Rhinolophus ferrumequinum: one gene and its partners. The protein of the gene in region 2 interacts with the protein of the main gene of each other region in a pairwise test. Links are inferred from orthologs where the notes say so. Each region holds a gene or a part of one and is shown on either strand. Other genes may lie near its edges. The genes, in order: ATF2, KIFC3, STX11 and MED4.

Evidence for each region.
Region 1: the proteins of KIFC3 (region 2) and ATF2 interact in binary tests that used the Homo sapiens proteins (3 or more experiments, as listed by UniProt). The two-hybrid records come from large-scale screens. The link is inferred for Rhinolophus ferrumequinum from reciprocal best matches to the Homo sapiens genes KIFC3 and ATF2.
Region 3: the proteins of KIFC3 (region 2) and STX11 interact in binary tests that used the Homo sapiens proteins (3 or more experiments, as listed by UniProt). The link is inferred for Rhinolophus ferrumequinum from reciprocal best matches to the Homo sapiens genes KIFC3 and STX11.
Region 4: the proteins of KIFC3 (region 2) and MED4 interact in binary tests that used the Homo sapiens proteins (3 or more experiments, as listed by UniProt). The two-hybrid records come from large-scale screens. The link is inferred for Rhinolophus ferrumequinum from reciprocal best matches to the Homo sapiens genes KIFC3 and MED4.

The regions. Positions count from the first base shown.
Region 1 is NC_046291.1:50,154,805-50,162,422, forward strand, and holds the start of ATF2 (cyclic AMP-dependent transcription factor ATF-2), read left to right. Parts: upstream 1-4,270; 5' UTR 4,271-4,424; intron 4,425-7,618. UniProt on the Homo sapiens protein: Transcriptional activator which regulates the transcription of various genes, including those involved in anti-apoptosis, cell growth, and DNA damage response.
Region 2 is NC_046298.1:10,368,302-10,376,409, forward strand, and holds the start of KIFC3 (kinesin-like protein KIFC3), read right to left. Parts: upstream 3,260-8,108; 5' UTR 3,118-3,259; intron 1,899-3,117; 5' UTR 1,617-1,898; coding exon 1,374-1,616; intron 1-1,373. UniProt on the Homo sapiens protein: Minus-end microtubule-dependent motor protein. Involved in apically targeted transport. Required for zonula adherens maintenance.
Region 3 is NC_046286.1:88,729,036-88,737,368, forward strand, and holds the start of STX11 (syntaxin-11), read left to right. Parts: upstream 1-4,937; 5' UTR 4,938-5,124; intron 5,125-5,289; exon of another isoform or gene 5,290-5,299; 5' UTR 5,300-5,412; coding exon 5,413-5,482; intron 5,483-8,333. UniProt on the Homo sapiens protein: SNARE that acts to regulate protein transport between late endosomes and the trans-Golgi network.
Region 4 is NC_046287.1:89,287,761-89,295,652, forward strand, and holds the start of MED4 (mediator of RNA polymerase II transcription subunit 4), read left to right. Parts: upstream 1-4,695; 5' UTR 4,696-4,766; coding exon 4,767-4,891; intron 4,892-7,892. UniProt on the Homo sapiens protein: Component of the Mediator complex, a coactivator involved in the regulated transcription of nearly all RNA polymerase II-dependent genes.

The DNA of each region.
Region 1 (7,618 bases), on a different chromosome or scaffold from region 2:
TTTTGTATTATGTGGGCCTCAGGTTGACAAACAGATTAGCCGTGAAGGGTAGATACTGGAATGCCAGACAAAATTATTTACCCTAGGAGAGATTCTATCTACTTTTATTGGAAAGCAGAATATAATGAAAAGCCTTCTTTCTAGTGAGTGGGATGAAAGATTGGTTGAAGGTATTGGTATGAAAGATGAAAATAAGGCCCTTAAATTGCATTCTCTGTCCTTGGGCTGGTCTCACTGAAGCTGGTATAAACTAATTGGTATGATTTGAAGATAAACACAGCCCTCTCATTTATTTCCCCACAATGCCACACACAATAAATACATTATTTTGAGAAACCAAAGATTGGAGGTGGGAGGTGGACATGGTCCTCCCTGCAGTGAAATGTTCTGAATCGACATTTCCATAGTGAGGATAGGCCCTGGCAGGTAACTATAACAGGTCATTGCGGCAACGTGCACCCTGGGCTGTCAGAGATGGGGAAAGAAGACCTGCCATGAGATAGAAGCTACCCTAAAAATCAACTAAAATGTCTAAGGCCATGCTGTCCTCCTCTCTCTGGTATCAGGTAGGTGGATAATCATGCTCTGCTTCTTCCACGCCTTTTGTAACACACACACACACACACACACACATCACACACCACACACCCTAGTGAGTTCACTGGCAAAATCCCAGCTAATGCACTGTCCTGGGCAGCGTCTTGTGGATACCTGGGAAAATGCAGAGGCTCTTTCCCTGAGTCCAAGGCAGATATAAGGGATATCCTGGAGTATGTTATGTTTTGTTTAGCTATAGACAAACAGAAGCTATGTTTTATAAATTAAATCTTCCCTCCTTATCTATCTAATTTGAGCAAGGTTTTAGTAGAATTCTTATAAGCAATACTATAAAATGGCTTAACAACCACATAATACTTCTAAACGAGGTGGAAATACACATATGTAGCACTTGGAAAGTTTTGAGAGCATTTAGAGGCCACTATTTTATTTGTGTGGTATTTAGTAATGGGTATTTTGCAATAGAAACAAGTTTTCTTCTCATAACCTGTTCTTGTAATAAAGGATGCCAGTTTTATCCTGAGTTCTTAAAGGAGGTTTACCAGATCCTTACTAATTTTCCTAGGAGTAAGCTGGGTAGACGCATGCATGGAATAATAAGGCAGGCAAAAAATGGGTCCAGAAGAAGCTTCCTGCATTCGTAAAGAAAAGATTGGAAAGACCATTAGGGCTTTTGGGGAATACTGAGGAATGAGGAAGTGTGAAAAAAACTGAAATATAAAGAAAGTATTTTATAAGGATATGGATAAATATGAGACTTACACATTCACAGGACCAGAACCAAAAATAATTATATTCATTTTGTCTACACCAATGTTCTCCACTTATAGAAAAGCTATAGTAAATGAACTGCTGTGGAGCTGGTAAAGTGAGAGCCTTTGCTAACCGCCAGGCTGTCAACATGCATACAGAACAGATTTGCATCCTTCCCACCCGTTTTCTCCCTGATCTCCTTTAATTTTATCTCACTTTATACCTTCTCTTTAGAAAATTAGCTTAAAATGGCATTCTCACAGCAAATAAGAGTACTATTTGTATTACTAAATGATTCTTCTCTTGTCTAAGAGGACTCCTGAAAGACTTTCTTTAAAATAACATGTACCTCTAGTACAGGGGTATCCAACCTTTTTTAAACGTTTTTCACCCAGGGCCATATGCGGTAAAATACACAAACAGCCGGGCCACTCACTCGAGGTGAAGTACGTGTTGCCTCACCTGGTTTATTTAAGTAAACTAAACATATTTTTGGAATTTGCTGCGGGACAATAAAAAATGGATCGTGGGCTGCAGTTGGCCTGCGGGCCACAGTTTGGACACCCCTGCTCTAGTGCATTATGTAGATAATTACTTAGACTGGAGAAATAGGGACAAAGAAAAATTTAAAACCGAACCTGTCAACTGAAAACAAATCAAAATTGGAGAAAAGAATTTCAAATTTTTGATATGTGAATGAAAAATAATAGTTTAAAAAACTACTCTAATCGATGCAAACTTCTTTTAAAATGCCATAGCATAAAAAAAAAATGCCGTAGCATTTATAGTTTTTTTCTTCTCACATTAGACAATTTGGGAGATGGAGAGAAGTAGCAACACATTAGGTAATAATGTATTCTAGACGTAAGAAGTTGTGATTTGTTAGTTGCACATTTTGTCCATTAGATGTTCATCATCAGTATTACACTACACACTAACTCTACTACAATGTTATTGCTACTATATAGGGAGGGTACTTTCATTTAATTTGAGAAGTAAACAGTGTTAATAACCTGGCTTCTTTCTGGTCTCTTTTAATGAAATTAGTTTTAAAAGTGAGTTGGCTCTTGTACATGTATACAGGCCAGAAACCTGTTAAAGACCCAGTGCCGTTACAATTTCACTTTTATGCCAAATACCATTACGGAACTGCAGGTTCATTAACTCTCAAATACTATCTCCCACAATCTTCCAACAATTTCGGTTTCACTTTGGTTTAGAGATGTTTGTGAGTGCATTTTATGTTAATACTTAAAATTTACTCATAATTTTTTTGAAGACTAGAAATCAGCACCTACCAATGGAAAACAAGAAAGTGAAAATAACTTGCTTTTTTAAAAAGTAGTTAATGGAAATTTCACAGGGGCCCTGGTCATATTTTTCAATTTGTGCCAGTATGCATTTATTGAACAATCAATATCCCTAAAGTTAACATTTAAATATTTAAGTTGTATAGAGAATCATAGAACATTAAGAAATATTTTCAGCATTGTACTTCTGTGTTTTTAGGAGTTTATCTGTGACAGTGATGGCAGAGAAGTAAATATGGTCTCTTTTGTCTCTCACGTTAAATTAATCAAGTGATCTGCCCCTCTCCTCTTCTTAAACAGCTACTTTCAAAGCTTGACAGACATTTCTTTGGCATTGCAGCCACCTATTAAGCAGTGGGATAGTATTGTGGAAAGAGTGCCATCTCTATGCCATATTCTAATTTGGTGTCCTTTGGGTCTCTCTAAAATAGAGTTGTTGATGTTTTAAAGATCTGAAATTATCTCTACTAAATTGATAAATTTTATCTATATCTGCTAAGTAAAGGAAATTAATAAAATGGGATACACCGTAATATGGGAGACTTTTCTTATAAACAAGTTCTTGCACTGTTTTAAATTAGTGGTACAGTAAAAGGCATTCTATTTCCTTTTGGTAAATTACTTCGAACATAATTATATGCTAACATCATACATACACTACACTACTACCACATTTCCCCGAAAATAAGACCTAGCCGGACAATCAGCTCTAAATGCGTCTTTTGGAGCAAAAATTAATATAAAACCCGGTCTTATTTTACTATGTGACCCAGTCTTATCTAACATAAGACCCTGTCCTATCTAACATAAGACCCCGGTCTTATATTAATTTTTGCTCCAAAAGACGCATTAGAGCTGAATGTCCAGCTAGGTCTTATTTTCAGGGAAAGGCTGTAGGTGCTTAGGAGCTGAAAGAATCACTTCTAGAGTTATAGCTTAGGGAAATTCGAACGCCATTCAGAGTAAAGGTTTTTTTCTTTTCTTTCTAGAACTGACATACTTGCTTTCCCGCTTCAAGCTTGTAGCTGGTTTGCGGGTTTTTTCCCGGCAAACTCCGCCCCTCCCAAACCTCAGCGTAATCCTGACTCCCCCTCTCAGGCTTCAGGGTACCGGAAGACGGGTTTAGGCGCGCGCCTCCCTATGCTTTACCTTCTTCCCACCCAGGGCCAGGAAGTGACAGCAACGGAAATACCGGGCTCCCGGGGCTGGGCTCGGGGGACTCAGCCCGCGCTCTCTCTGCCACTCACAGCCTTTCCAGAGTTCACCTTGCCTCTCTGCACACCGTCAAACTCTTCCCGTGACCTCACCCTCCACCTGCCCCAATGTCCCACACCCAGCCGGCTGCCAATCACAGGCTTCCGCAGGGCCGGGCTACCGAGACACCTCCATTGGCTCTGTGGTCTCGCCCCCTCCAGAACTGCTGCCCGCCCTCCGGGCGCTTTGTCCAATCATCAGCTACTGAGTGTCTTTGGTTCCGCCTCCTCCATCCCCGCCTTCCTGAAGTCCCGCCTCCTTCCCCTCAGGTCTGACGGCATCACCTGACCCCGAGGCGCTCGGTCTGAAAGAAGAGAAGAAGGGGCGTGAGCGTGGAGGGGAGGGGCACGAGAAGAAAGGGGGGGAATGCCGGGAGTGGGGCGGGGAGAAGGCTTGTCAATCCGATCTCGCGAGAGAGGACGGAAGCCTGTGGGAGCCCGTGGCCTTTAAAGTGCCGTTCAGCCCTTTCCTCCAGGGGTAGTTTGTAAACACGGTTGAGCTCAGGCCTCGCTGGCGACCGAAAGAAGCATGAATGAGTGACCTGGAAAGGTGAGTAATGATGGGGAGAGGGCCACAGGACTAGACACTGTAGGGATACGGAGAAAGAAGGCACTAACATGGCGACGTTGCTCACCATAGTCTCCACCCCCCGCTCCCCATCACCTCGGGCGCTCCTGCCTCGGTTCCTAGCCTCCCGGCCACTGTGGCTGTGCTGCCGCCTCGGCCGCCGCGCGGCGTCTGCTGCCCGAGCCCGACCGGCCGGGCCGGACCGTTAGGTAACCGGTGTTCGTTGTTCCGGCCCCTCCCCGCTCGCACGCTTTCCTAACGAAGAGGAAAAAGGAATAACGGCTCTGAGACCCCTCCCCCCGGTTTATCTTCTCTGGTCAGTTTAGAGGGCCCTGGGCCACACGTCGGATGCGCCCAGGGCTCGGGGAGACCGCTTCTACCCTGGAAGAGGGCTGGCTCTGGTCTCCCCACCCAGGACTCAGTGGTTGGGGACTGTGTTTGTGATGGTGGCGGGCAGGTGGGTAGGGAGGCGCGGCTGAAAATAGGGTCAGGGTCTCTCTGGCTGCGGTGAAACGATAGAACAAATGGTATGGAGAACCTGGGACTTGGAAGTCTCGGCCTTTCCTGTCCCTGCTGCCCCCGCCACCCCCCACTTTTTCCCGCTGGGGCGGGGCTGAGTGTGGGTGCAGATTGATTCTTGTGTTTTCCCCCATATTTTACCTCCTTGGGTGCACTGCAGAGCTGCTGGTGGGAAATAACCTGTGCTTTTTATCAATGCCCGAAGGGCCAGAGAGAGAGAGTTCTGTGTTCGCTCATTGAACCGACGCTGGAAGGCGGGTGAGGGTGAAAGACCTGGGACTACTTTTGTGCCCTTAGGTAGTATAAAACTGTCTTTGCTTAATGGGGAGTCTTAAAACTGGTGAGGCCAAGAACAAAACTACAGTGAATACGATGGCATAAAAGTGATAACTCCTGATGGACCTTAGGCCTATTGAGTAATCCCTAAATTATAATGTGAAAGCTACAATTTCTTAGGAATTTTAAATTATGGAACCGGTAACAATGCATAAATTTAATGTATGTATTTGAAATCAGAACAAAACTGTTCTCTGAGCACACTTTTTGTCCTATGTGAAGAAATTCATAACCACTGGCATTGTCAGTAATAGCCTTTCTAGGCATAATCTTTAAATAACCATGTATTCTTAGTCCATTGTAACAAAGCTATGAAGGTGAGTAGCTTGTTAAAAAGTCAACCCTACAGGATTAAGTGCCCTAATGACACATATAGTAGCAGTTATGTCTCCTAATTCAATTTGCTACACTGACTTGAGGAATCCACTGTACACTTTTCAAAATTGCAGGAATATTGATATAAAGTATGTATTATAAAAAAAGATGTCTTTCTGAAGATCAAGTAACAGAATAAAGGAAGTTCATAGATCTTTAAGGCCATCAATCATTAACAATTAACAATCCTAGTCTTTGTAATTTATAGGAATCTTGCAAATTTACAGTGGTGTGTATGCTGCTTTCCTGAAACATGTTTAATCTTTGAGAAGATGCTACTGCCATTACGTTTTAAATTATTTGAAATATAATGTGGTAATTTAGAATTTGGTTGTTTGTGTTTGAATTGTCAGTAAGAAAGGAGCTTTCAGGGACTTTTTTGTGTGTTTTTAAGGTACATAATGCCTTCTGTAGATCTGATTGCATTTCCTGAAAGTTCTTTTATAAATACCTTATTAGAATATTTCATATTTGGGGCACTATGTTCTGTTCTATTAAATATGTATTCCAGAAATCCCTGTATTTACTTTTTTTAGTTGGAGTTTTTGTTTCATATTTTTCAACTAAGGTAAAAGTAGAAATGGTTATTATGTCAGCTCTTTTAACAAATAACATGCAGGGATGATTGTTTTTGATATTCACTATTTTGAAGCTATGAATATCAAAAAATTATATGCTATGCATCGAATGTCTGCTACTTGTAACTAGTATTACGTCTCAAGAAATCATTACATTTTTTCTACCTAAATTTTTGTAATTTGGAAAAGTTGGGTTTTAATGATTTATATGTTCTCTGCTGGTATTAAAATTGTTAGATCATGTTAGATCAACTCTGGATCTTATTATCTGTATCAGCTTAGGCAAATAATCAAACCTCGTTTAAAACCCAATAACAACAATTGGAAATTCAGTTCATCCTTATAGAAATCAATGCATGTAGTACTTGTTATCTATTCTCTGTAATTAAAATGTACTTTAAAAAAAGAAGCTATAAATTTGCATTGCTATACTCAGTAGTTTAACTTAGTATTTCTGTGTTTATCCTATACTCACACCTATTCCTTGAGGCTAACTAATTTACCTAAGATGCTACATGTTCTCTTAATGTAGTTTTTATTGGTGAGGTAATAGTGATAGTATTTACCTATTTCTAGGGAAAAACACCACAAAACATGTTATTTCTTTTGTTCTCTTTCTTGAGCTAACGGTTAAAAAGTTAGTATAAGGTATAGTTTCATGGGCATTTAAGAAAGTTTGTGGATCTTTAAGGCCAACAATAATTGGAATTATTTTACATATATTATTATAAATATGTCATATGTTATAATTAATAATTATAAATACATATACAGAGGGTTCCAAAAATTATACACATTTTAAGAAAGAAAAATACTGTATTAAAATTGTAATACTCAATATATACCGATAACAAAAGATGAATACAAGTCACATTTGACTTCCGCAGTTACAAGAGGTGCTCAAAGTGGTTACCGTCAGTGTAATTTTAGTACAGTTTTTTCCTTTCTGTATACATTTTTTTGGCATCCTCTGTATATTATATATACTATTTTCATTTATTCTGTTAACCTTGAAACTGGTATATTCGTTTACATTTTTAAGTACATTTAGTGATGCTTTTTTTCCTTGACATTTTGGACAGTGGTAGTAAAGTGATTAAAAACTTTTCTTTTTTGCAGTAAGAAGGGATGTAAATAAACAATACTTTTGGGGCAAGTCCCATTCACCCATGTCTGTATTCTGTATCTTAAAGATAGAGAGGTTCTCAACCATTTTCTCTGTCTTAATACCCAAGGAATAGAAAGCACTCCCTACAGTAGTAATAGCTTATTACCACAGCGATTCTCAACAAGATTAGTGGGGAAAGACAGAGTGGGAATGATTGTAATTAGCAAAAGCCATTTTGGCAAAATACCAAGTGTATTTTG
Region 2 (8,108 bases):
AGACTCCCCTATAGCTTGCTACATGTGTTTCCCGAATTTCAATTCCTCTGCTATTCCTGAATAAACTCAATTTCTGGTCTTTCGAGTCTGCCTCAGTTTATCTCTTTATTTGGGTTGACATCCCCACACCCTCATTGTCCTTTTCTCAAGCTGGCTCCTGTCCATCCTCAGGTCTTAAAGATGTCAGTTCCTCAGAGAGGCCTTCCCTGACCACCCCCAGCCTCCCATCACCTGCCCTCTTTCTGTATTTTATTGTTATCATGACTCTTATCACAGTCTGAAATTATCTTGTTTTCTGTCTGCCTCCCCTGCCAGGTGTGCAAGCTCCAAGACAGAGAATCGTGTTGGCCTATTCACATCCTGGAAAAGGGCCTGGTACAGAGCAAACATTCAATACATATTTGTTGAGTGAAGAAATCAATCAATCAAGCAGAGATAGATAATGAACTTGTAAATAATTAATGCAATCCAGAGCAGCAAAGTGGGAATCACTCAAAAACTAATCTCAGGCTCTGCCATTTTATCAACAATAAGTACAACAACAACAATAGCAATAAAAAAAAATCAATAATAATTCAATAATTATATTTTATAATCCAATTCAATAAAACAGTTTCAACAACACAAATAACTCGGGTATTGATTCAAAGCGCTTGGCATTTACTATCTCTTCTCAACCTCATGACAATCCAATGAGACATAGTCTGTTATCCCCATTTTAATGGGTCCAAAAACTGAGGTATAGCAGATGTTTTGTGACTTGCCCAAGGTCACAGAGCCAGTTTGGGGCAGAGTCAGGATCCTAACAGGAGGCCACACAACTGTATTCAAATTCCTCTAAAGAAACATTATAGAGCTGGTGAAAGAAAGGTTTTCAAAAACAGATTACCTCACAGGCACATTGGGAGGGTTCAGATAAAAGGGTTTTGGATTCATTCTGAACTACTTGAAAGAGATCCCACCACAGTATAGTCGGAATGTGAACATAAACAACCATTTATTGAGCGCTCACTGTCAACCAGGCCCAGGGTTATGCACTTTACATGCATTATTATCCCCAGTTTACAGATGAGGAAACTGAGGTACAGAGCAACTGAGTAACTTCTTCAAAGTCCCCTGGCCAGGAAGTATTCATCTCAGCTGTGGCTGCACAGATATTCATCACAGGAAAAACCTAGCACTCAGTTAGATCTGGTCATTTGCCAGGAGCTTCTGAGAGTATAGAAGATACTAGAAATGCCTAAATCTGGCAACTTTCAGACATGTTTACAAGACTTGAAGAAAAAACTCCATACTTCATCCTGGAGAAGTTTCTTTCCTTTATCTAAAGGCACTGTGAACTGTGACCCTCCTTGGCAAGGTCTGCTCCTTACCTGTAAGCCATGGACCGTTGTCTCTGAGACCAGGATGCTTCCTGGGGAAGGGGCTTGGAGTTTGGCAGGACCAGATCCATTGGAGGTGCCGGGGCCAAGCCAGTGCCAGCCCCAGGTCTCCTCCTGGCCTGCACTGGGGGGTCTTTCCCATTCTCCCCTTCGTCCCCTCCACAGAGCCCAACTCTTCAAGCTCAGCTGGAGCAGGGCTGGAACCAGGAACATGGCAGCCACGGGCTGGCTCATGCTGTCAGGTTGTGGGAACAGAATCTTCCAAACTGGGGCCTGCAATGGCCTGTGCCCTGGAATTTTCTGCTTGGTTCACCAATTCCTAGCTGGACCAGCAGTGGCTTTGGTTTTGAACAAGGCCGGCATTCAGTCTTTAGTCCAGCAATTAAAAGGCTTTGAGGACAGGATCTCCTTTAGTTTCCAGGGCATGACCCGGGTCACAGGCAACACAAGCAAAGGTCTTCAAATATTGTCCTCTGAGTTTTCTAGCCAGTGTGTCTCCGCTGCAGTCAATACGGTCTTGAGAAGAATTCGAATTGTTATAGCAGGGGAGGCAAAAATAAAGTTAATGAGTCTCCTGACATTCAAGTGGCAGCTCAAGATATCCACAGTTGAACCTCTCCCCAAATTTTTCACCCCTCCCCAAATCCCGCGTCTCCCCCAGCCTTCCCACCCCAGCTAATAGCAACAGCACCCTTCTTGTGACTCAAGCGGAAACTGCAGGCATCCTTGTCTCTTTCTTTCACACGCCACGTCCTACCAGTGACAAGTCTGCCTGGCTCCACCTTCGAATAGCATCTGGAATCTGACCACTTCTTCCCACCCCCACTGCGCCCACCATTTCTGCCGGGATGCCTCCAGGAGGTTCCCCCTGGTCTCCCACTTCCAGCCCTTTATTCACTATCATCACTTCTCAACTCAGCAGCCAGAAAGTCCTCTTAAAATTAAAGTCGAACCATGTCAATCTCCTGCTTAGAACCTTCGATGGTTCCCATTGTCGCTCTGAGAAAAAGCCCAAGTCTGACAGCGGCCCTTCAGGACTCGCAGCTGCAAACCTCCCGTTACTTTCTATTCTTCCACTCTGCTCCTGAAATCCACCAGGCACCCTAAAGCCCTTTGCACAGGTTGTTCCCCTTTATCTGGATGCTCTTTCCCCAGATATCCACGTGGCTCCCTCCGTCCCTGCCTCCCCACCTGCTCAGGCATCTTTTCCACAAAGAGGCTCACCCCTCATCTTCCACCTCCACTCCCCAACCCACACCCTGCTCTGGTTTTCCTTTCTTCCTTCATTGCCTTTAACACCTGTGACATGTGAATGATGTACTTATTTGTTGTGCCTGTGTGAAGGGGAGAAAACCTACAAGGTGTACTTTTGTTTGCCAGGATCTCTCAGGCAGCTGTATGGAGCCCGGCATGTGGAAGGGGCTCAGTGAAGATTTGTGAAATGAAGGCGAGTCCCTGCGAGGCACGGAATTTCTATTGAAGAAACATGAGAAAGGGAAGAGAGGAAACGTTTGAACTTTCTGGCCCCTTGGGGAGATGAGATGGGGGAGAGAGTGTCGGAGGCGGGGCTGGAGACCATGTAGGTGCCCCCCTCCAGCCACTTGTAAGCCTCTGCCTACCCCCCCAACCCACCCACTGGGTTCTCAGCTGTCCTGAGAGCACTGTGACATTCCCGGCCCCAGACCCGAAATCGGACTGGAAGAAGCAGACAGCTGAAGGACACGTCTTTCCCTACCTGTGGCCTTTGTGACCTTGCAGTGACCTCCAACGTGGGCGAGGGGCCCCAGGCACTCCACTTTCTACATATAAATACTGATGGCTGAAGAAAGCGAATAGTAGAAAGTGATCCTAATAGAAGTGGCCTTGCTGCAGATGCTAGAAGGCAGTGTCCTGCTGGGAAACCTGGACACCCGGGCAGAGAGGATGGCCCAGTGCAGCCCCCACAAGTGCAAATTCCCTCGTCAAATCATCCAGGCCCCGATTCTTTAATGAATCTGGTCACAGACAGCCCGTCCTGCCTCCCCTGTCTCCCTCTCCATCTGGGTGTTAACGAGAAAAGCAGATTAGAAATGTCAATCCCGGGGCTGGTTCAGAGCTGCAGCACTGTCCACATTCGTTCCATTCCGACAGGTCCAATTTCCTTCCCCAAACAAACACTTGGGAATTGGGTTTTGAGAAACCTTCTACTTATATGAATTTCATGAGCTTGACTATGACCTGGAGTAACTCTTTTATGAGCAAAACAAAGATATGACCAATAAAAAGGAATTTGTTTTCCTTTGTAATTTCAAATAGAGTCTGTGTGTGTCAAACACACATGGGGCCGTCCAGTTTTTTGTTAGAAGCAGGAAAGGCAAGTCCGATAAGGTAATTTGCAGGTGCTACTGTGAGTATCTAAGAGAACATTAAGACTTTGTTTCCTTCATCTCATTGTTCGAGAGTATATACTTTCAGATTCCATGCAGAGGCTAGAAGAATCCTTTGCAAAACAATTTAAAAATACGCTGAAAAATTATTGTCGGAGCAACTCTGTTGTTAATTAAAAAATAAATCAGAAGCCAAAGTTTTATTACCACGTCATCCTTTTATATCTAATGCCTCGAAATTGCCGTACATTTTGGGGAGTCTACTAAAGCGATTAGCTCGTTTTATCCACATGGGTGTTCACGTTATTATGGTGCCCTTGGGAAGTAAGAGTGTCCCAGAATCATTGTAATTTAGTCATTGTTTTCTTTAGTATAAAGAAAGCCAAGTTGAACAAGGAGTGATTCAGCTGACTGAAGAAGGACCACACAGAGAGCTGAAATTCAGGGCCAGACGAAGATGCCCTATGAATCTCATTTTCAGTTCTGTGTGCAGACCACTAACGCGTCTCTCTCACGAAACAGAAGCCCTGAGAATGACTACATAGTATTTTTAACAAAAACATTTACCATGTCTGAGGACTTTATGCTTGTGATACCTTCACGCAGCAGCTTTGAAGAAAAACAGCAGAGGTTAGGCACGCCTTTTCAAGGTCAAATTCTATTAGAAGAAAAAAATCTAAAGACCTAGATTCCCTGGAGGCAGCCACGTTAAACTTGTTTTGTTTTCAAGGCAGGAAATATTCACATAAAATTACACTTTGTGAGAGGATGTCTATGATGATTTAAGTTTTGTCTCTCTTCTTCTCCCCTCCACAAAAGATGAATCCTAGAATCCTAAAAATGTTCTCCCCTTAGCTGTCATGGTAAGTAACCTACTTCGTTGTTGCTCTTGAACCAGCAGAAAACAACAGCACTGAGTGATCAGATGGTACAGGGATTAGCAGAGAGGCTAGAAGTAAGCTTTAGAGGTTTATATCTACAGTACGAACTTGGGTCCCACTGCTAGAGACAAAAAAGGAAAAAAAACACAAAAAAACCCTTAACCAATTCAAGGTAACGACAGTAACAGTTTCTCGATAATTGGTGATCTCATTTGAAAGGGTCAGTTGTAAATAAGCACAGCAATGAAACCCAGTGTTCACTCATCAATTTATTCTCTACAGATCAGTTTAATTGAGATAAATTACCTCGTAGACAATGACAATACCGACTTACTTACACAGATAAGTAAGATCTGTGAGATCAATTGAGATAAACTCTGCGGGTGTGTATCCGTGGAGGCATTTACTTTCTCATTTCTGATGGAATGATTTTCAGGCACGTAAAGTGCTCAGTGAATGCATGATGGCAGTTCTCCAAGGATCCGAGTCAGTATAGTTTTTTAAACTACAGAATTAGTGCCCTTTGTTTTATGAAGGGAAGGACATAAACTCCCTGCTGCTAGAATAAAAGAGGTGAGCAGAGGTGTTTAGAATGAGTGTTGAATGTTCTTCACAGCATGATGTTAAAATTCAAAAGATTTCCAGTGGGTCACTCTTGTTTGTAATGGGACATTTCTTAAAGGGGGGAAATTTTATTAAAATGGGGAGAGATAAACTACATTTTCTCTTTCACTTAGTGGTGGGAATCTCTGAGTAAAACACACTGTAAAAATACCTGGACATACCTGAGATACATGATTGCGTTCGGCACCCAGCAAAACATTTTCAATCTAGAAATTCACGTGCTTCAGGTGTTGGGACTTTCTTGTGTTATTTCTTTGATTTTTTTTTTTTCTCCCTTCCATTTTCTTGGTTCTCTCCAGAATTCTTTTGGGTCCATTTTGGGAATTCCTGATTTGATTCTACCTTGCTTTTCTCTTCCATTTCTCATATCTATCTTTTTGTTCTAGCTCCAAGAAATTTCCTCAGCTTTATCTTCCAACCCACCTATTGATTTCCCCTCTCACATGATATTTTTAATTCCCCAGAGATTTTTCTTGTTTCCTGACTATTCATTTATCAATAGAATTTCAAGGGTACAATTGCATTTTGTCTCTCTGGGACTATTAATTATGGAGTTTGTTTTTTTCCCTTCTCTCTTTTGCTGCTTTAATTGTTTGTTTTCTCTCTCTCTCTTTTTTTCCTGTTTGTTTCGGTATCTACTTTTAAGTTAGAGACTTCATGTTAGATTATTCTTGACTTTCTGTTCATATTTAAGGATGGGACACTACAAAGTCAATTGGAAGTGTAAGTGTGGGTAGAGCTCATGATTGAAGAACTTCCTGTCGGGTGGTAGAGTGGGGACCAGGATCTTTCATTGGAAGGCCTTCATTGTCAATTTTATTAGGTCTTTTCTCTTGAGCTGGTCAGTTTCCCCAGAAGTGAATCATCCCATCTCCTGTCTAAGTTGGGTACAATCCTGGCTGCCAATATTCCGAGACCTAAGAGAGGAAAGGAGGCTGGAGGTCTCATTGTTCAAAATCAAATTTTCATTTAATTCCTGTTTTGGGTTTGGTGTCTCATCAGCCCACTCCCTTTTCTAAGTCCAGATTCTTTGACATCTTTGTCTGCTGTTGTTTCCTCTTCTATTATCTTCATTCTTACAGGTTTTTACTTTTTCATTCCTTTACAGTCATTTCATTTGGGTTCAGGGATGGATGAAAATAAATGCATATGCTCAAGCCTCCATGCTTAACTAGAAATATTACACATTCATATTTTGCTTCAAGAGGTTTCATGCTAAGTACATTTATATTATGAGTGATAACTGCTCCATAAGCTCCAATGATCCCAACTGGGGTAGAGTGAAGGAACCTATATGATGAAAAAATTTCTACATTCTACTTGAAGTGGTGGTGTATCAACTATAAGTTATCTGTGAAAAGTTAGATATGTAAATTGTAATTCCTAGAGCAACTTAAAAAACTTCTTTGTAGACTATTTCTTTGTATGGAATAGCTAGAAAATGTTTTGTATAGAACTAAAAGTAGTATGTTCTAGTATATAAGTAAAAAAAAAAATTTGTATAGAAAAGCTATTCAAAGAAATAAAATAAAAAAGCCAACAGATAAATTAAAGTGGTATACTAAAAATGTCCAAATAACCTAAAAGAAAGCAAGAAAGGGCAAATAGAGAAACAAAAAAATGGAGGGGACAAACAGAAAACAAATAAATGATTGACCTAAATTCAAACATATTAATAATTACATTAAGTATAAGTAGTCTAAATATACCAATTAAAAGACAGAAATTTCTAAATTGGACTTTTAAAAAAGGCCCAACTATATGCCACCAATAAGAAATTCACTTTACATATAATGGTATAGATGTGTTAAAAGCATGAGTGTGGAAAAGTATATACCATGCAAACAAAAAGCTGGAGTGGCTGTATTATTCTCAGACAAAGTAAATTACAAAGCTAGGAAACTACTATGGATAAAGAAAGACATTACATAATGATAAGGGAGCCAATTTACCAAAAGGACATAACAATCTTAAATATATATGCACCTAACAACACTGCTTCACAATACATGCAGCAAAAACTGATAGCACTAAAAGGAGAAAATGGACAAATCCACAACTATAGTTGGATACTTCAACTTTCCTCTCTCAGTAATTGATAGAACAAGTAGGCAGAAAATCATCAAGGATACAGAATTAAACACCACCATTAACCAATTGAATCTAATTGACATTTATGGACTATTTCATCCAATAACAACAGAATGAATATTCTTTTCAAGCACACATAGAACATTCACCAAGATAGACCGTATTCTGGGCCATACAACATACGTATCAAATTTAAAAGAATTTAAATCTCAAATATATGGTGATGGAAGGAGAACTGACTTTGGGTGGTGAACACACAATGGGATTTATAGATGATGTAATACAGAATTGTACACCTGAAATCTCTGTAACTTTACTGACAATTGTCACCCCAATAAACTTTAATTAAAAAAAAAGAATTTAAGTCATTTAAACTATGTTCTCTGACCATAAAACAATTAAACTAGAAATCAATAGAAAAATATCTGGAAAAATCTGCAAGTACTTGGAAATTACACAATACATTTCTAAATAATCCATGAATCAAAATGGAAGCCTCAATAGAAATTAGGAAATATTTTAAACTGAATGAAAATGAAAATACAATATGTGAAAATCCGTGGGATGGAGATACGAAGTGTTTAGAGGAAAATTTATAGCATTAAATTTATGCTTATATTAGAAAAGAAGTTGTCAACTCAAAAAGCTAACCTTCCATTTTGAGAAACTAGAAAAAGAAAATAAATCTAAAGCAAGCAAAAGCAATAAAATAATAAAGTTAAAAACAGAAATCAATAAAATTAAAAATAGAAAAACAATAAAGA
Region 3 (8,333 bases), on a different chromosome or scaffold from region 2:
TATCAAAGCTCATTGCTGTATTGTTAATTAATTTTTTATTTCTTTCTATGTGTGATTCTGGCTAGTTTTATTGCTCTGCCTTCAAACTCACTAATCTTTCCTTCTGCATGTCTAATCTGCCATTAATTCGACTAGTGTATTTTTAATCTCAGACACTGTATCTTTTATCTACAGAAGTTCGTTTAGGTCTTTTTCATATTTTCTATGTCTCAACTTTTTGAACATATGAATTCAGTTATAATAACTGTTTTAATATCCTTGCCTGCTAATCCTAACATTTTGTCAGTTCTGATTGGTTGTTTTTCTCCGTATTATGTGTTGAATTTTCCTGCTCTTTAACATGCCTGGTAATTTTTGAGCGGATGCCATAGATTGTGTATTATACCTTGTTGGGTGCTAAATGTTTTTGTTTTTCCATAAGTATTCTTGAACTTTGTTCTGTTAAATTAGTTGAAAAACAGTTTTATCCTGCTGAGGCAAAACTCTTCCAACCACGCTACCCAGTGAATTATGAGGCTTTTCCTGTATGGCTAGTGGGAATAGGCATTATTTATGGCCTGTGTGAGCGAAAGTTACTGCTCCTTCCAATCTTTTTAGGTGTCTTTGCTCCAGCTCCAGGTAGTTTTCTCACATGCATGCACTGAGAAATCTCTGTGACTCCTTGGAGCAGATCTCCTGGGGTCTCTCTCTCTCTCTCTCTCTCTCTCTCTCTCTCTCTCTCTTTCTTTCCTACGAATTTTAATCACCTTCATCTCCCTGGACATTTATCTTCATCTCCTTAACTCAGGGAATCTGCCTGGTTTCTTCTTTTCCGTGCCATGTGCTGGAAACTCTCTCAAAGCAATAAGCTGGGACGAACGGGGCTCACCCTGTGCGTTTTCCATCTGTACCTTCAAAGTTACTACCACATTCATGTGTGTATGTAGTATCACATACAGTATTTCAATTCATTAGCACTAAATATAATCATAAATATTCATTAAAGACATTTTCATTACATTAGACTTATATGTTGGTATTTTATTATACGGAGAGTTTTAAAATTACTGACTCATTATAACCATATGTTACCAAAAAAAAGGGTTCTTGTATCATCCCAGAAAGGAATTCAAGGACTAATCGAATGAGTCGTGAGAACAAAGCCAAGCAAGCAGTGGATTTATTGAAGTAAAGAAAAAGAGTACACTCCCCAAAATAATGGAAGTGGGCCAGCCAGGAGGAGGGCAACTGCACCAAAGAACAAAGAGGCTTAGGGTTGTATTTGAATGAGAGTATGAACTATTCAAGTTTTAGGGCTGGTGTCATAGGTATTCCCAGGGTGGGTCCCTGCTATCCTTGCTGACCACTCCTTCCTGTTGGGAGGTGGGATTCCCTTGTTTTTACTGGCTCTTGTGGGAACTTTCATGGCGACACAGGGGTGGAGAATTTTCCCGGCCTGCAATGCTAATGTTATTGTAATCTGTTACCTTTAGCTGTAGCTGCACCTTTTCTTAAGAATGACCTCATTTCCTCCTTCCTTTGTCTCACCCTTCTCTCCCCACACACTGCTCTTTCTGCCTAGTTCTTTCTGCCTACAGTAACAGGACCAGGCTGAATCCAAAGAGAACCACACTGAGACACATTATAATTAAACTGTCAAAAGTTAAAGACAGAGAGAATCTTAAGTAAGCGAAAACAACATATTACACAAAAATAGAACAAATAATTCCAAAATGTGTATGAAACCACAAAAAGACCTCAAATAGCTAAAGAAATCTTGAGACAGAACAAAGCTGGAGGCATCACATGTCCTGATTTCAAACTATTTCACACAGCTGTAGTAATCAAAACATACGGTATTGGCATAAAAACAGACACATACATCAATGGAACAGAACAGAGAGCTGAGAAATATACATATGCATCTATGATCAAATAATTTAGAACAAGTCAAGAATATACAATGAGGAAAGGATAGTCTCTTCAATAAGTGGTGTTGGGAAAACTGGACAGCCACATGCAAAACAATGAAACTGAAGCTCTATATTACACCATGCCCCAAAATCAACTCTAAATGGGTTAAATACTTGAACATAAAATCTGAAACCATAAACTCCTAGAAGAAAACACAGGGGGTAATCTTCATATTGGTCTTTACAATAATTTTTTTGATTTGACACCAAAAGCAAAAACAACAAAAGAAAAAATAAACAAGTGGGACTACATCGAACTAAAAAGTTTTAGCACTTCAAAAAAAAACCATCAACAAAACATAAAGACAACCTATAGAATGGGAGAAAATATTTGCAAATTCTATATCTGATAGGGAGTGAATATCCAAAATATAGGAAGAACTCATACAACTCAATAGCAAAACAAACAAACAATCAAAAAAACAAAACAACAACAAAAAACCAATCCGATTAAAAAATGGGCAGAGGAACTGAACAGACATTTCCTAATGTTGACATAAGAAACGTCCAAACCTGTAGAGAATTTTAATGAGTTTATTAGAGCCCAGTTGGCTGTGGTGAAGTTGGCTGTGTCCTGAGGGGTCTGGAAAAAAAGGGATTACTCTGACATTCCAAGGGTATGTTATTTTAGATGCAAAAAAGACAACAGACAGGCTCACTTAAGGTCAAGATTGACCTGCGAAGGAAGCGACAGGCCAAGGATGTGACAACCTGCCATGACCCGCTTTTAGTTAGGAATTTTTATGTCCAGACCATCCTATATAGTTAATTTCAGTCTCTGAGTTTGTAGGACTCACCATGCTGACCTCCCCTGAGCTTGTCGGTTTAGCATGTGGCCCCTTCTTCATTCACACTAAAGAAGATGTAGAAATGCCCAACAGGTACATGAAAAGGTGCTCTCAACATCGCTAATCATCAGGGAAATACAAACAGAACTTCAATGAAATATCACCTCACACCTGTTAGAATGGCCATCATCAAAAAGACAAGTGATAATAGGTGTTGGCCATTAATGTGGAGAAAAGGGAACCCTTGTGCGCTGTTGGTGGGAATGTAAATTGGTGCAGTCACTATGGAAAACAGTATGAGGTACCTCAAAAAATTAAAACTAGAACTACCTTATGACCCAAAAGTTCTACTTGTGGGTATTTATGTGAAGAAAATGAAAACAGTAACTTGAAAAGATATATGCTCTCCCGTGTTCATTGAAGCATTATTCACAATAGCTAAGATATGGAAACAACCTAAATGTCCATATAATATATACACATTATATGTATATACATATATATGTATACACATAATATATATGTGTGTGTATATATATACACATATGTATATATATATTACTACATATATATATATATATATATATATATATATATATATATATATATACATACACACCATGTTTCCCTGAAAATAAGACCGGATCTTATATTAATTTTTGCTCCATGACACATTAGGGCTATGTTCAGGGGGTGTCATCCTGAAAAATCATGCTAGGGCTTATTTTTCAGTTAGGTCTTATTTTTGGGGAAACACGGTATATATATATATCAGAGTAATTTTAATATAGTTTTTTCTTTTCATAAAACGTGTATACATTTTTTGGCACTCTCTCTATATATAACAGGGTTGTCAAAAAAATGTACACAAGTGGACACTTGGTCAATGTTGCACAAGAAGTAGTTCGTCATAATCAGAAGTGTCTGGATGCTGATGGTAATCACTTTGAGCACCTCTTGTAATTGCAGCAGTCAAACGTGACTTGTATTTATCTTTTGTTATCAGTATATACTATTTTAATAGTTTTTTTCCTTTCTTAAAATGTGTATACATTTTTTTGATATATATATATATGTAAATATATATATATATGAATATTATTCAGCCATGAGAAAAAAGCAAATCCTACCATTTGCAACAACATGGATGGAATCGGAGGACATTATGCTAAGTGAAATAAGCCCGAGAGAGAAAGACAAATACTGCATGGTATCACTTATATATGGACTTGAAAGAAAAAGTCAAACTCATAGAAACAGTTGAAAACTGACTGCCAGGAGGTGGGGTGGGGGAAATAAGAAGAGGTTGGTAAAAACGTACAAGTGTTCAGCTATGAGATGAATAAGGTCTGAGGATCTAATGTAAACATACTGACCATAGTTAACACTGTATAATATAATTGAAATTTGCTACTAGAGCAAAGCTTAAATGTTCTCACACACAAAAGAAGATAAATATGGGAGGTGATGGATATGTTAATTAGATGGTGGGACTCTTTTCACAGTGTATACATACATCGTCGCACACTTTACACATTTCAAACATCTTACAATTTTATTTGTCAAGTATACCTCAATAAAGCTGAAAAAAAAATCCAAGGATTGATGATTCGAGGTGAATATATATTTAAAAGAAAAAGTCATAGTATGATGAGGATCATTTAAATGAGTATCTGTTATCCTCAAAATAAAGAGAATAATATAGCTAATCAATGAAATACAAAAAACCCCAATGCACTTTTCTATTTAAAAAAAACTAAAGATTTTTCGTTTTACTTCATCAAAACAACATTAAATCCATGTTTATTTTAATATTTTTGATTTTATATTTTTAATGTGTAGATTGGTTTGGATTTTATATTCTGTAGTCATAGACATTTATACCACGTCTATGTAAATAACATTGTATATATATTATATTCAGGTAACATTAGAGTAGAAATAATTTGTCAATCCTGGGTGCCATATATTCTTTTCCCTGAAGAGGGGTCCGCTCATTATCGAAGTTGGAGAGATGATGTACTAGGACCATGAAAGAAATAAGGTGTGAATAGATTATGTCCCCCACTGACATTTGCATTGTAATCAATTCTGATTTGTAGGAGCATTTATTTTGTAAATGTTTCCTTGTGACTAGGGATGTAGTGTTGTGGCAAAAGTTCCTGTTTCATAACTCTCCTTTGCGCATCACCAACTTATAGAAAATACGGTTTAAAGAAATCAGCTGGAGTGGCCTGCTTTCAACATCCAGAGCTAATGATGCAAGGCTGTGTCAGGCAAAGATTCCTCCTCATGCTCAGGGGACACAAGTAAAGAGCGGCGAAAGGAGAGGAACATCTGTCAGCTTCTCCAAGGTCTCAACAACATCATCATCCCAAAGGCAGGTATGCTCAAGGAAAGACTTTGTTGAATGTGTGCATTGAATGTGTGAGTTCACTGCTCAGATTGCAATCTGTTTTCACGGTTACCTTTAGTAAGTTCATCTTAAAGCACGTAGTCATCATTTGAAACATGCTTGTTTTTTGTGGTGCCAATATTGTATTTTTAAGTTTTCTTTAGGGTCACGGAGGGAAGCTGGCTGTGGTCCACAAACTCACAGAAATTATAGACTGTATTTAACGAAGAAACCCATCCCTTTGAAAAGGGAAAAGGAAGACAGATAAAGAAAAGACATGGAGCTGCAGCAAGGGGATGAAATGGATGAAGAGGAAAACGAAAAGAAAATCGTGTCTCAGCCCCAAAGTAAGGATTTTGGGAGTAGAAATACATAGTTTCTAAACAGATAGCACAAATCATATGGATGTAAAACTGTTTAGCTTCTTTGTGAAAATTACACTTGCTGAGAACTAAATTAATGATTCAAATTCAAACCCAATATTTAAAGGCTTATGACTAAACTATTATCTGTGACAGGCACGGCTTATTGGTTACCTTCTGTTGATGCTCTTGTTTCACTTTTATCAGTTCCGCAGGACAGGGCCATGGTGCAAAAAAGGGTTTACGAGAAGTGAGTATTGAGTAAGAGTCTCATCTTAAAATACTTTTGCAACTTGTTATGCAAAATCACAGTTGCAGAAAAATTGGTTTCCCTTAAGAGCTATTAAGCAGATCAATTCTACTATCTCTAGATCAGGTTGTTTCGGCCCAATCTCTTTTACAGAAAGTATTCTATTTGTATACATAAATTACCCAGTACATGCTAAACTTCAGGTCAGTATATGCCAATATGTAAGAGGAAAGTTTTCACTTAATTGCCATTTGGGTTAAAATAAGAATGCAACAGTATCATTTCAGGAATTATAGGCAGGAAAAAAATTTAATACCAAAATCATACAATGTTCACCACTTGATTTCTACCCCTCCTTGTATACCATGCACAGAAAAATAAGCTTATTGAACAACAAAAAAATTTGCTTTTCTATGAGAGTTATGTGTTGCATTCTTTTTTCTTTTAGAGTAATTTTTCTAAGCTTACCTAGATTTTGACATTGCTCTTTGAGTGTAGGTAACAGGATAGAAGAAATCATTTGCTTTGAAAAGTTCTCATTTTTTGGTTCTTCTGTGGTCTTTGATGTTGTTCTTGGAATCTTTATTGGTGTTTAAGAACTTGGACTGTTGTGTCAGACACTAGGATTTGAATCCAGGATCCTTTGCTTGCTGCGGTTGGGGGAGTGGACAGGACGGATTTCCTCCTCTGTCATATGGGGCTGAATTATGAACACCTCATACATTTCTGATGAGAATTAAATGAAATAATATATGAAAACGTCAAAACAGTGCTTAGCACATTATAACCGAACAATAAGTGTTGGTTATCTTTAACATTGGTATTAGCTTTCTGGGGTTTATATTTTTTAATGATCTGATGTTTGCTAATAATTGTACATTGAAATCCTGAGCTTCAAAGGTGTCTTAGTTCATTTGGGCTATGCTGTAACAAAAATATCTAACCGAGCAGCTTACAAACTTCTCACAGAACTTCTAACAGAAATTTACTTCTCACAGTTCTAGAGGTTGGGAAGTCCAAGATGAAGGCCCTGGCCGACTCCGCGCGCGCGTGTGTGTGTGTGTGTGTGTGTGTGTGTGTGTTGGGGGGGGGCCCACTTCCTGGTCATTGGCCGTCTTCTCACTGCCCTCACATCTCAGAAGGGGTGAGGGAGCTGTCTAGGGTCTCTTTTACAGGGACACTCATCCCATTCTTCAGGGCTCCATCCTTATGACTTAATCACCCCGAGGCACCACTTCCTAATATCACATCAGGGATCAGGTTTTAAAATATAAATTTGAGGGGGACACAATCTTGCAGTCTAAGCACAGGGTTAGAAACTGTTCTCCGGTAAGCTGGGTGGATTGAGTAATGATGGCTTGTTTGCAGTACTGAGGTACAGATTTCCTCACACATTTAGAGGGAATTTAAATATTATTAGATATCAAACTATTTAAACCCTTAAAAGTTAACCTATATACTTTATAGAGTCTTAGTTTTATATCTCCAAAGATTACACGTTATGTAGAGAAGCTATATGCAAGAAGATTTGCCTGTGAATCTGAGAATATTTTTTCTAGCCTGAGTACATCTGAAAAAAATTTATATCAGATGACATACAACATGATTTCTTCATACAGCTAACTAGTGGATTGAATTCAGGAGATGATATTATCATCAAGGAACACTTTTTATAAAGACTATAGGTATAAAATTTTCAGAATAGGATTTGGACACTGTCCTTTACCTACTAATTAAGGATACTGTGTCAGTTAGGATCTCAACCTAAAACTGATAGCACATTCAAATTAGAACAATTCAAGGAAGGTTTATTAATAAGGGTACTATTATAAAGATGCAAACAGGGTGGGAACCATAAGGGACCCCTGGGCTGGCATACCCCAGGCCTGAGACTCATGAATGGGGAGAGGTATTCAGAACCAGGAAGGAGAGGAATCGTGTAGAACAGACCACCTTAAATAAGAGGGACACAGACAGGCTTTCTGTTCGGAATAAATGCCTTGACCTCATCCCCTGCTTTTGCTCTCCTGCTCGAGTTCCCTATTGGTCAAGCCCAAAAGAAGTCTAAAGGCCTAGGAGCCTGTTTCCAAAGTCCATTCAGATCAACCTCCCAGGGTCGAGAGTAGGATGGAGCAAAGCAGAAAGTGGATCTAAAGAGGCAAACAGAAGAGATCTGCACATATGCTGGAGATATAAAAATCTAGAACTTAAATTTTCTGGTTATGACAATTCCTGGTGGCACCTGTTTATAAAACAGAGTTGTAGCTTTATAAACATGCACCAGACAAGCTCCAAATAGGAATTAAGGTTTAAGCCACTGCTCAAACAATAGCTTGAAATCCATGTTCTGTAAAAAAGAAAAATCCTTTAAAACGGTATTAGTGCTAGATACATATTCCTATATTTCATTATACCTGGGTGTCACCCTCTAAAAATGCTGTCTCAGTGCCCTGAGCTGCCCCAAGTTCAGGTCAGTGCTTACTTTGGTCATTCACTCACTCACTCACCATTCCACAAACATTTCCTGAGAGCCTCCAGCGGCCTAGGTATTTTGCTAGCTAAGCTTTGGGTAAAAAGTAGTAAGTG
Region 4 (7,892 bases), on a different chromosome or scaffold from region 2:
TGACCTTTACGAGCTGAGTTTTGGTGGGGAAGTGAGAATGAAAAACTAATTGGAAACAGTATAAGGAAGGAATAGAATTGGAAACAAAATATTTAGATAATTCTTTGAAAGTGTTTTGCTGCAGAAGGCAGCAAAGAAGTAGAGCAGTTGTTGGTGAGTAAAGTGGGGCTGGGGTTTTTTTAAATTAGAAAAATAGCAGCAGGCGTGATGATGAGAAGGAGTAGAGGATGAAAACTTGGTAAGATGGGAAATGGGGTGAACTGCTGGTTCAGTGTCTTTGCAAGGGAATGGAACTATGGGAGAATGTACTCTGGCCAGGTGAAGTTCATGCGCAGTAGCTGGCAGAACTGTGGGTGCAATGCTGATGCGTGGGCAAACGTGGTGGTGGTGGCAATCTGTACGAGTCCTCTCTTCTGATTTCTCCTCTTTTCTCAGTGAATTAGAAAGCAAGATCTTATAAGTTGAGAGTGGTTAGGAGTGGTTTGGAGAAAGGAAATGGTGTGAAATTGGGTCAACAATGTGAAGAGGGTCTAAACAAGGATATACAGTTTGTCCAGTAGCGTCAAGGGCCCACTGCGGGTTTGGGGTTTGGAGTTACGAATTTCAAGTATAACCAGTTGACTTGCTTGTGTTTTCCTGCAGCCATTTTCAGTTGCATTTGTACAGGCATGTGGTATGTAGTAAGCAAGCTGCATTCAGTCTAGGGTGTCATCTTGCCAAGAGAGTAGGACAAATCAAGACAGGGGCAAGGAAGTCAAAGATTTATGCAAGGCAATTTTAGAAATCTCCAAATACCCTTTGACTTACAACCCCTCCATATTAGTTGGCTAGGGCTGACATAAAAAACCAGAGACTGGGTGGTTTAAACAACAGACCTTTATTTTCTCACAGTCCTAGAGGCTGTAAGCCCAAAATCAAGGTGTTGGGTTGGTTTCTTCTGAGACTTTTCTCCTTGGCTTGCAGACGGTCACCTTCTCACTGCATCCTCACATGGTATTTTCTCTGTGTGCCCACATCCCTCAGTGTGTTCAAATCTTCTGTCCAAATCTCCTCTTCTTATAATGGTATCAGTGGGATTGGATCAGAGCCCGCCCTCAGGCTATTATTACTTAACTTAATCACTTCTTTGAAGGCCCTACCTCCAAATACAGTCACATTCTGAAGTCCTGAGGGTTAGCACTTCACTGTAAGTATTTTGACGGCATACAATTTAGCCTCTAACTCTATCCATCTATGTAAGGCATCCCAGATAGTCACCTCAATGCAACACTGTATTTGTACAGGTTTGCTTTAACTTTCTGCCCCCACAATACAAGTTATACAGACTCTGCCTTTGGGGCCCTTCACGTAAAAAGTGTTGTTTTTCTAAGAGTTAGGGTTGATATTCTTCCTACTTTCTGATGCTTGCAGATTATTTTAATACACAGTAAAAAATATATTTCATATTTGTCTCAGTACACACATGCATAAATATATAACTGAAAAAATGTCTACAAAGCAGTATAATGCACTTTGATGTTTTAGAAATTTTCTGTTCCATTCCATTTTATTTTTAAAATCTCTACAGAGATGTCGGTTAGGCATCTCAAACAAATGGCAATCACATAGTTATGTGTAAATACGAGTACAATAATGTAAGCATTGATTATGGATTTAACAAAAAAAAAAGGATTTTTTCTATAGAGAGGATAGAGGAAGGGAATGGGATATGTTAGAGAGATAAGATCTTTGTTCATCATACCGGGACAGAAATAAATCTCTAAAAGTGTTCAATAGACATAGAGAATATATGCATATTATGTAAAAATATGGAAGCAAAGCAAAGAAGAAATAATTGAAAATGTTGCATGTGGTTGCTGCTATGGAAAATGATATGACAGGATATGGGGGTTGGGGAAATGGAGAATGAGAACATTTTTGTTATCTTTTGAGTTATCTTTGAGTGCTATATTGATTAGAATAAAAAATGACTTTAAAAAAAAGACATAGTATATGCAGCCACCTCTTCTCCTGACTCTTAGGAACAGGCCTGGTAGAGTTTCTTGCTGCACATTCAAACCTCCACACCAAACATTTGTAGCTTTTTACACAGAATTCTAAACTGTGCATTTCACAGTGCTTATATTTTAGACCAGAGGTTCCCAACCTTTTTTTCAGTAAATGAAGACACTTCCTTCTTTAAACGAGACAGGATAACCAGTAGCTAAGAGCATAGACCTTGGAGAGAGACCCTGGGTTTAAATCCCTGTTTTGCCACCTACTAGCTGTGGGACCTTGGGAAAGTCTCTTAACGTCTCAGCCTCCGAGCTTCATTATCTGTAACATAGAGATAATAACAATACTTACCTCTGGGAGAGTTATGAAAATGAAATGAGTTCATTTTTTTTAAAGTGCTTAGAAAGAACTATGCCTAGCAGGTTAAATACATAAAATTTCACAAGAAGGTAGTACTTATCCTTTTGAATCTATAGATGGAGAAAATACACTCAAAGTTACCATGAATTTGGTTATTATAATAACAATAAAATATATAAAATATTCATATTTAATTACTATATTATAAATAATTCATATTTTATTCATCACAGCTAGATCTGCAGTTTGCAGAAGAGTTTATCTGTAGGATATGCTATTACTTTATCAGTCTATAGACAATATTCAACGTGCATATAAATTTGCAATAACTTTGAGGTCTAGAATTCACAAAACACATATAGTGTCCGTACATTGACCCCCTCAATGCCCGTAAGGTAGCGACTATAATTGGTCATTTTAAATTGATTAGAATCTTCCCAGAATTTTTATGTGGAAGCTACATTAATATGAGCCTCTTCTCTTCCTGCCAGAATTATGGCCCAAGGTGAACCTGTGAGAGTTGAGTAAACAAATCCCACATAGACGGCAGGAGTTTAGGCCCTTGGAAAAGTAACATAAGATATTATTGACTAGAGCTACTGAGAGGCATGCTTAGAATACAATTGTAACTAAGAAAGCTTAAGTCTAATTTATTCCATTGCCTGAGACTGTATTAATAGAAGGTAAATCTAATTTATTCCATTGCCTGAGACTGTATTAATAGAAGGTGTTAGGAGCAGAAGTGGGGGATGGTTAAAAAACAAAAGTGTCCACTAGTCTTTTGCATTGTCTCAGGGAGGAGGCACCCTGACCTATGAACACAAATATTCCAATCTCTTTAACAAATATCCCTACCCTATGAAGATGCAAATCCTGATGATTGCATTAATTCTTTTTTTAAAAATCTATCTTCACTTGTTCTGATCCAAGTTTATAAGCAACACTTTGGTGATAATTTGGCTTTCTGTGTAGGTTTGTCTATGAGTAAAATCATGCTCATTGTAAGTGAATAAATCAGCATTCTGGATTATATAGCAGTTGCTATGAATGAATTTATTTAGCATGAGTCCCTGAGGGAATCCTCAGCTCTGGGTACCCAGCAGAAGGACAGATCAGAGGACAAGATGCTAGAATGAGGGGACCACCGTACTCCTGCCTCATTCCCAGCTGTTGTCTGTAGCTGATCTCTCCCCATCTCATCTTTTCTAACTGCAATTTGACCCGATGCAGAACTCCCATTCCCAATACTGTTATAGCTTTGGGTTTTCCTGGTAGGAAAGTCCCCTACTACATTGTTCTCCCCCAGAAAAGTGGGCTAAGGTACATTTTTGGCTTTGATACTCAGTTCTGATTTGGAATTTGTGCTACACCAATTATTTAAATTATTTTCATTAACTACCACTTACATACTGTGTTGATTCATTCAGTTCAACAGTCATCTTGAGCAATGAGCAACACATTTTGTTGGGAGATACATGATTATAAAGATGGATTACGAAAATGTGGAAGCAACTCAAATGTCCAGCAACAGAGCAAAATGTGGTGTATATACACAATGGAATATTATTTATCCTTAAAAAGGAAGGAAATTCTGACATATGCTACAATGTGGATGAATCTAGAGTACATTAAGCTCAGTGAAATAAGCCAGTCATGAAAAGACAAATACTGTATGATTCCATTTATATGGGATACCTAGAGCAGTCAAAAATCACAGAGGAAGAAAGTAGAATGGTGTTTCCCAGGCGCTAGGGGTATGGAGGAATGGGGAGTTGTTTAATGAATACAGGGTTTCAGTTTTACAAGATGAAAAGAGTTCTGGAGATGGATGGTGGTGATGGTAGCACAACAATATGAATGTACTTAATATCACTGACATGTGCACTTATACAGTTAACATTGTAAATTTTGTTACCTGTATTTTACCACAATAAAGAAAAACAGCAGGGGAAAATAAAAAGATGGATTATGGTTCCTGTGCTAAGGTGCTTACAGCTCCTGAGAGGCCAAACGGTAGGGTGGGATTAGTGTTAAGGAAATGAAAACTAAAGAGAGTTTAATACTGATGAGACCCCGCCCATTTCACGAAGAAGCTGATACAAGAGTTAGGCCATTACGTAATTCCTTCAAAGCTTAAAATCCGTTGAGCAGAAGCTTCCCATTCCAACTTGCAGAATGGAAGGTGCAGTAGAACCTGACCCAGTTGCGCCTGCCAGCTGGGGTTGGATCGCAGAAGCCCTCTCTGGCCCAGCAGATGGCGCAGGCGTCCGCAGTGAACCTCCAGGCCCCTAGGCGGCGCTGTGACCGGGCCTCTCTGCCCCTCCTCGGTGACGCTTCCTTCCGCCTCCCGAGCCCGCCTCTCCTCACCAGCGCACAGCTGCGCAGACGCCGGCTGCGTGCCCGTGAGGAGCATGGCGGCGTCTTCGAGCGGCGAGAAGGAGAAGGAGCGGCCGGGATGCAGCTCGGGAACGGCGGGCGGTAACAGCACGCGGGAGCGACTGCTGTCTGCGCTGGAAGATCTGGAGGTCTTGTCGAGGTAATGTCGTCGCTTGAGGACCTGCCTCAGGGTTGGCGCTAGTTCCAGGGGCTCCGCGGGGAGGGTGACCCCCGCGCTCACTTCCAAAGACAGCGGCGAGGTTGTCGTGGACGTGGCGTCCGCAGCCGTCGGGGACTTCCAGACGGCATTCCCTCCCCCCCGCATACCCCCCTGCCAGAGGACGTTTTAATAATGACCCTGGAACCCCAAGACTGCCAGAACCGTAGCAGACCATAGAGATCGCCTGGTGTGAGCCCCTTCGACCACGGACACTCTAGAAACATTTAAAAAGCTACTACCGGCTGTCAAGGGCAGGGACACGGTAGTGAGCGGGGGACTAGATGTCCGCGAGAAGGAGCCCACTCGCTGTCAAGGGGGACAGACGTGTAAACAGATGACAGGCGCGGAACCGGTTTTTATCAGAAGCTTGCGCTGCGCGCTACTGTAATAGAGCAGGGGGACGAGGCGCCTGGCCTGGTCGTAATCAGAGTAGGCTTCCTGGGGAAAGGACTGCCTGGGAAGAACGAGTTCACCAGATGCACTAGGCGGCAGGTAGCAAAGGCCTGGGAACCTGAGCACGCGCGACGCGGTGGAATGGCAGGTTTGGGACGGCTGGAGTGCAGTGTGCATGGCAGAGGTATGAGATGAAGTTGGATGTCATTCTCCGGATTCTGTCATCTTTCATGATAGCCTGTCAAGTTGGAGGCTTCCTTAATTCCCTCACATTCACTTGGATGTTAAAATTGTTTGGGTTCTTCCCCCTAAACTGTCGCTGAGATTGGACCTCTTGTTCTCATCCACACTGTTTTACATCCTATTCTTAACTGTTAAATAATGCGTTGCCTACGGGCGTCTTCTTCACGTTATCATTCTATTTTGCCCAAGAACAGGGTTATCTTTTAAAGAGGCATCTCGAATTACTTTTCTGCTTTAAAATATTTGGTAGGTTCCCATTGCCCGATGAGATAAAGTCCAAACTCTTTAGCTTAGTGTGGGATAAAGCCATTCTCCATTTCCTCTGAATTTATCCATCCTCTTGTTCTCATTTACATCCACATCCCTCCGACCTCCCTACCCTTCACTCCAGCCTCAGTGAATGCTTTCTATTCTAAAGTTCTACTTCCTCATCTTTAGTGCCATTCCCACTCCACCTCCAACTTGATGAATCATTCATTCATCCTTCAGAATCCAGTTTAAATGTCATCTTTTCTGTAGCCAACACTCTTGGACAGTTATGTTACCTGACCCTACTAATGGTCAGCATTTTATCTGCTGTGAATTTAGTCCTTGCTATGGCATGCATTACTTACCAGATGAGTAGGTCAGCATGATATTAAGTGATGTAATAAAAACACACACCAGAAGTTAAATAGTTTATGGGTTTAATCCACTGTTTAGACTATTAGACTCAAATGCTGCCTGACTACAAATAGAGCACGTGGAATCTACAGACAACCAGCAGTCAGTACAGTGAACAAGAAACTCAGAGGCATAAGGCAGCTGCCTTAATGTGTTGCCTCTGTGTAAATGTTTACACAGATGAATGTAAACGCTATTTTCTTCTGTTTTTGTTGGTTTTGTAGTTCCTGTCAGAAACCTTGTCAGTTTCCTTTTTCAGTTAATCCTGTCAATGAATACCAGCATGATTTCTTAGTAAAAAGACACTAACAAGACAGCGTTTTCACGATAAGTTTTTCGTTCAATTATTTATGTCTCTGCTCTGTGTAACATGACTCTTGGGGACAGCTAGTTGAAGCTTCATTTAGTTCACGTTCAGGACTTATTCTTTTTAAGTTCTTAAACACCAAGTTAACATCCCATACACACTGACTAGCCCACTACTTTTCTAAATAGGGCCAACTGTCATTTGCAGAACAATGCATTCAACCTACCTGCTTTTAGAATCACTGGTCATCCAAACTGGGTCTCTGAGTACTTTGAAGTACCTTGAATAGGCAGCCATGTAATTCTGATGTAAATTTGTGTTCCATTAGATTCAGAGCAACTAATGATTAATTGGAAAATACCTCTGTTGCTCCTGTTTGAGGTGATTTTTCCACTTCCTTAAATTCTGGATCGTGTTCTATTTGAAATGGTCCGTTGAGCTATATCTTCTTTGGGGAGACTGCTCACCTGACGGCCAAGTCTAATGCTTGACTGGCTTCTAACGTCTTTGCAAAGGAATCTTGATGATACTGTCACGTACGAAATTGAGTTAAAATGTTTCTTATTATTTATTCATTTTGACCAAGCATATGGAATGGATGGTAGTGATTAATTTTTCTGTAAATATGTTGACTTTATAAAGACGTGACACCCCCTTTGGGAAGTAGTGACTGCTGCCTTTTGTTCTGAGTACTTCTTAGTCTTAGAATTTCAAATCTTTGCCTTAGCGTATTCATTGAGTATATTCAGTGTCTCACCCTTCTGCTCTGGAGCCCAGTAAATTGATTTATTTTTGAGTTTTACTTGCTGTAATATAATTTGTTGGTCTGTTTTTCTGAGTAACCCTAGTGTATTTTATATTTCATGTTTACTAAGTTCAGGAATTGTTTCTGAGTCTACTTACCAGACTAATGGTCTTGGAGAATTTCTTCTGACCTTAGACAACCCAGCGGTCAATCTTGAGTTCTTGCCTGTGGATCGCTGTGGCAGTGGGCTGTGTATCTGAGGTGTGTTTTCCAGATGCTGTTGGTACGTGTAGGAGTGCATATAATTGATATTCATGTACTCTCCACTTGAGATAACATAACTAATTTATGTTATGTTAAATTTGAGACTAAATTGAAATTCTCATATATCCAGATTTGACCAGTTTATTCCTCTTTGTATTTGATTCTTTCCTTGATTATCAAGTATATAGCATTTTCTGTGTGAAATGTATTTATTCACTGAAGTAATGAATCATCATTTAAATTTTCCTGAAGAACCTCAATATTTGTGAAACTTTCTCTTTCAGCTTTTCAGTTGTACATGAACAGTTGAGGTACTGAGTCCTCTT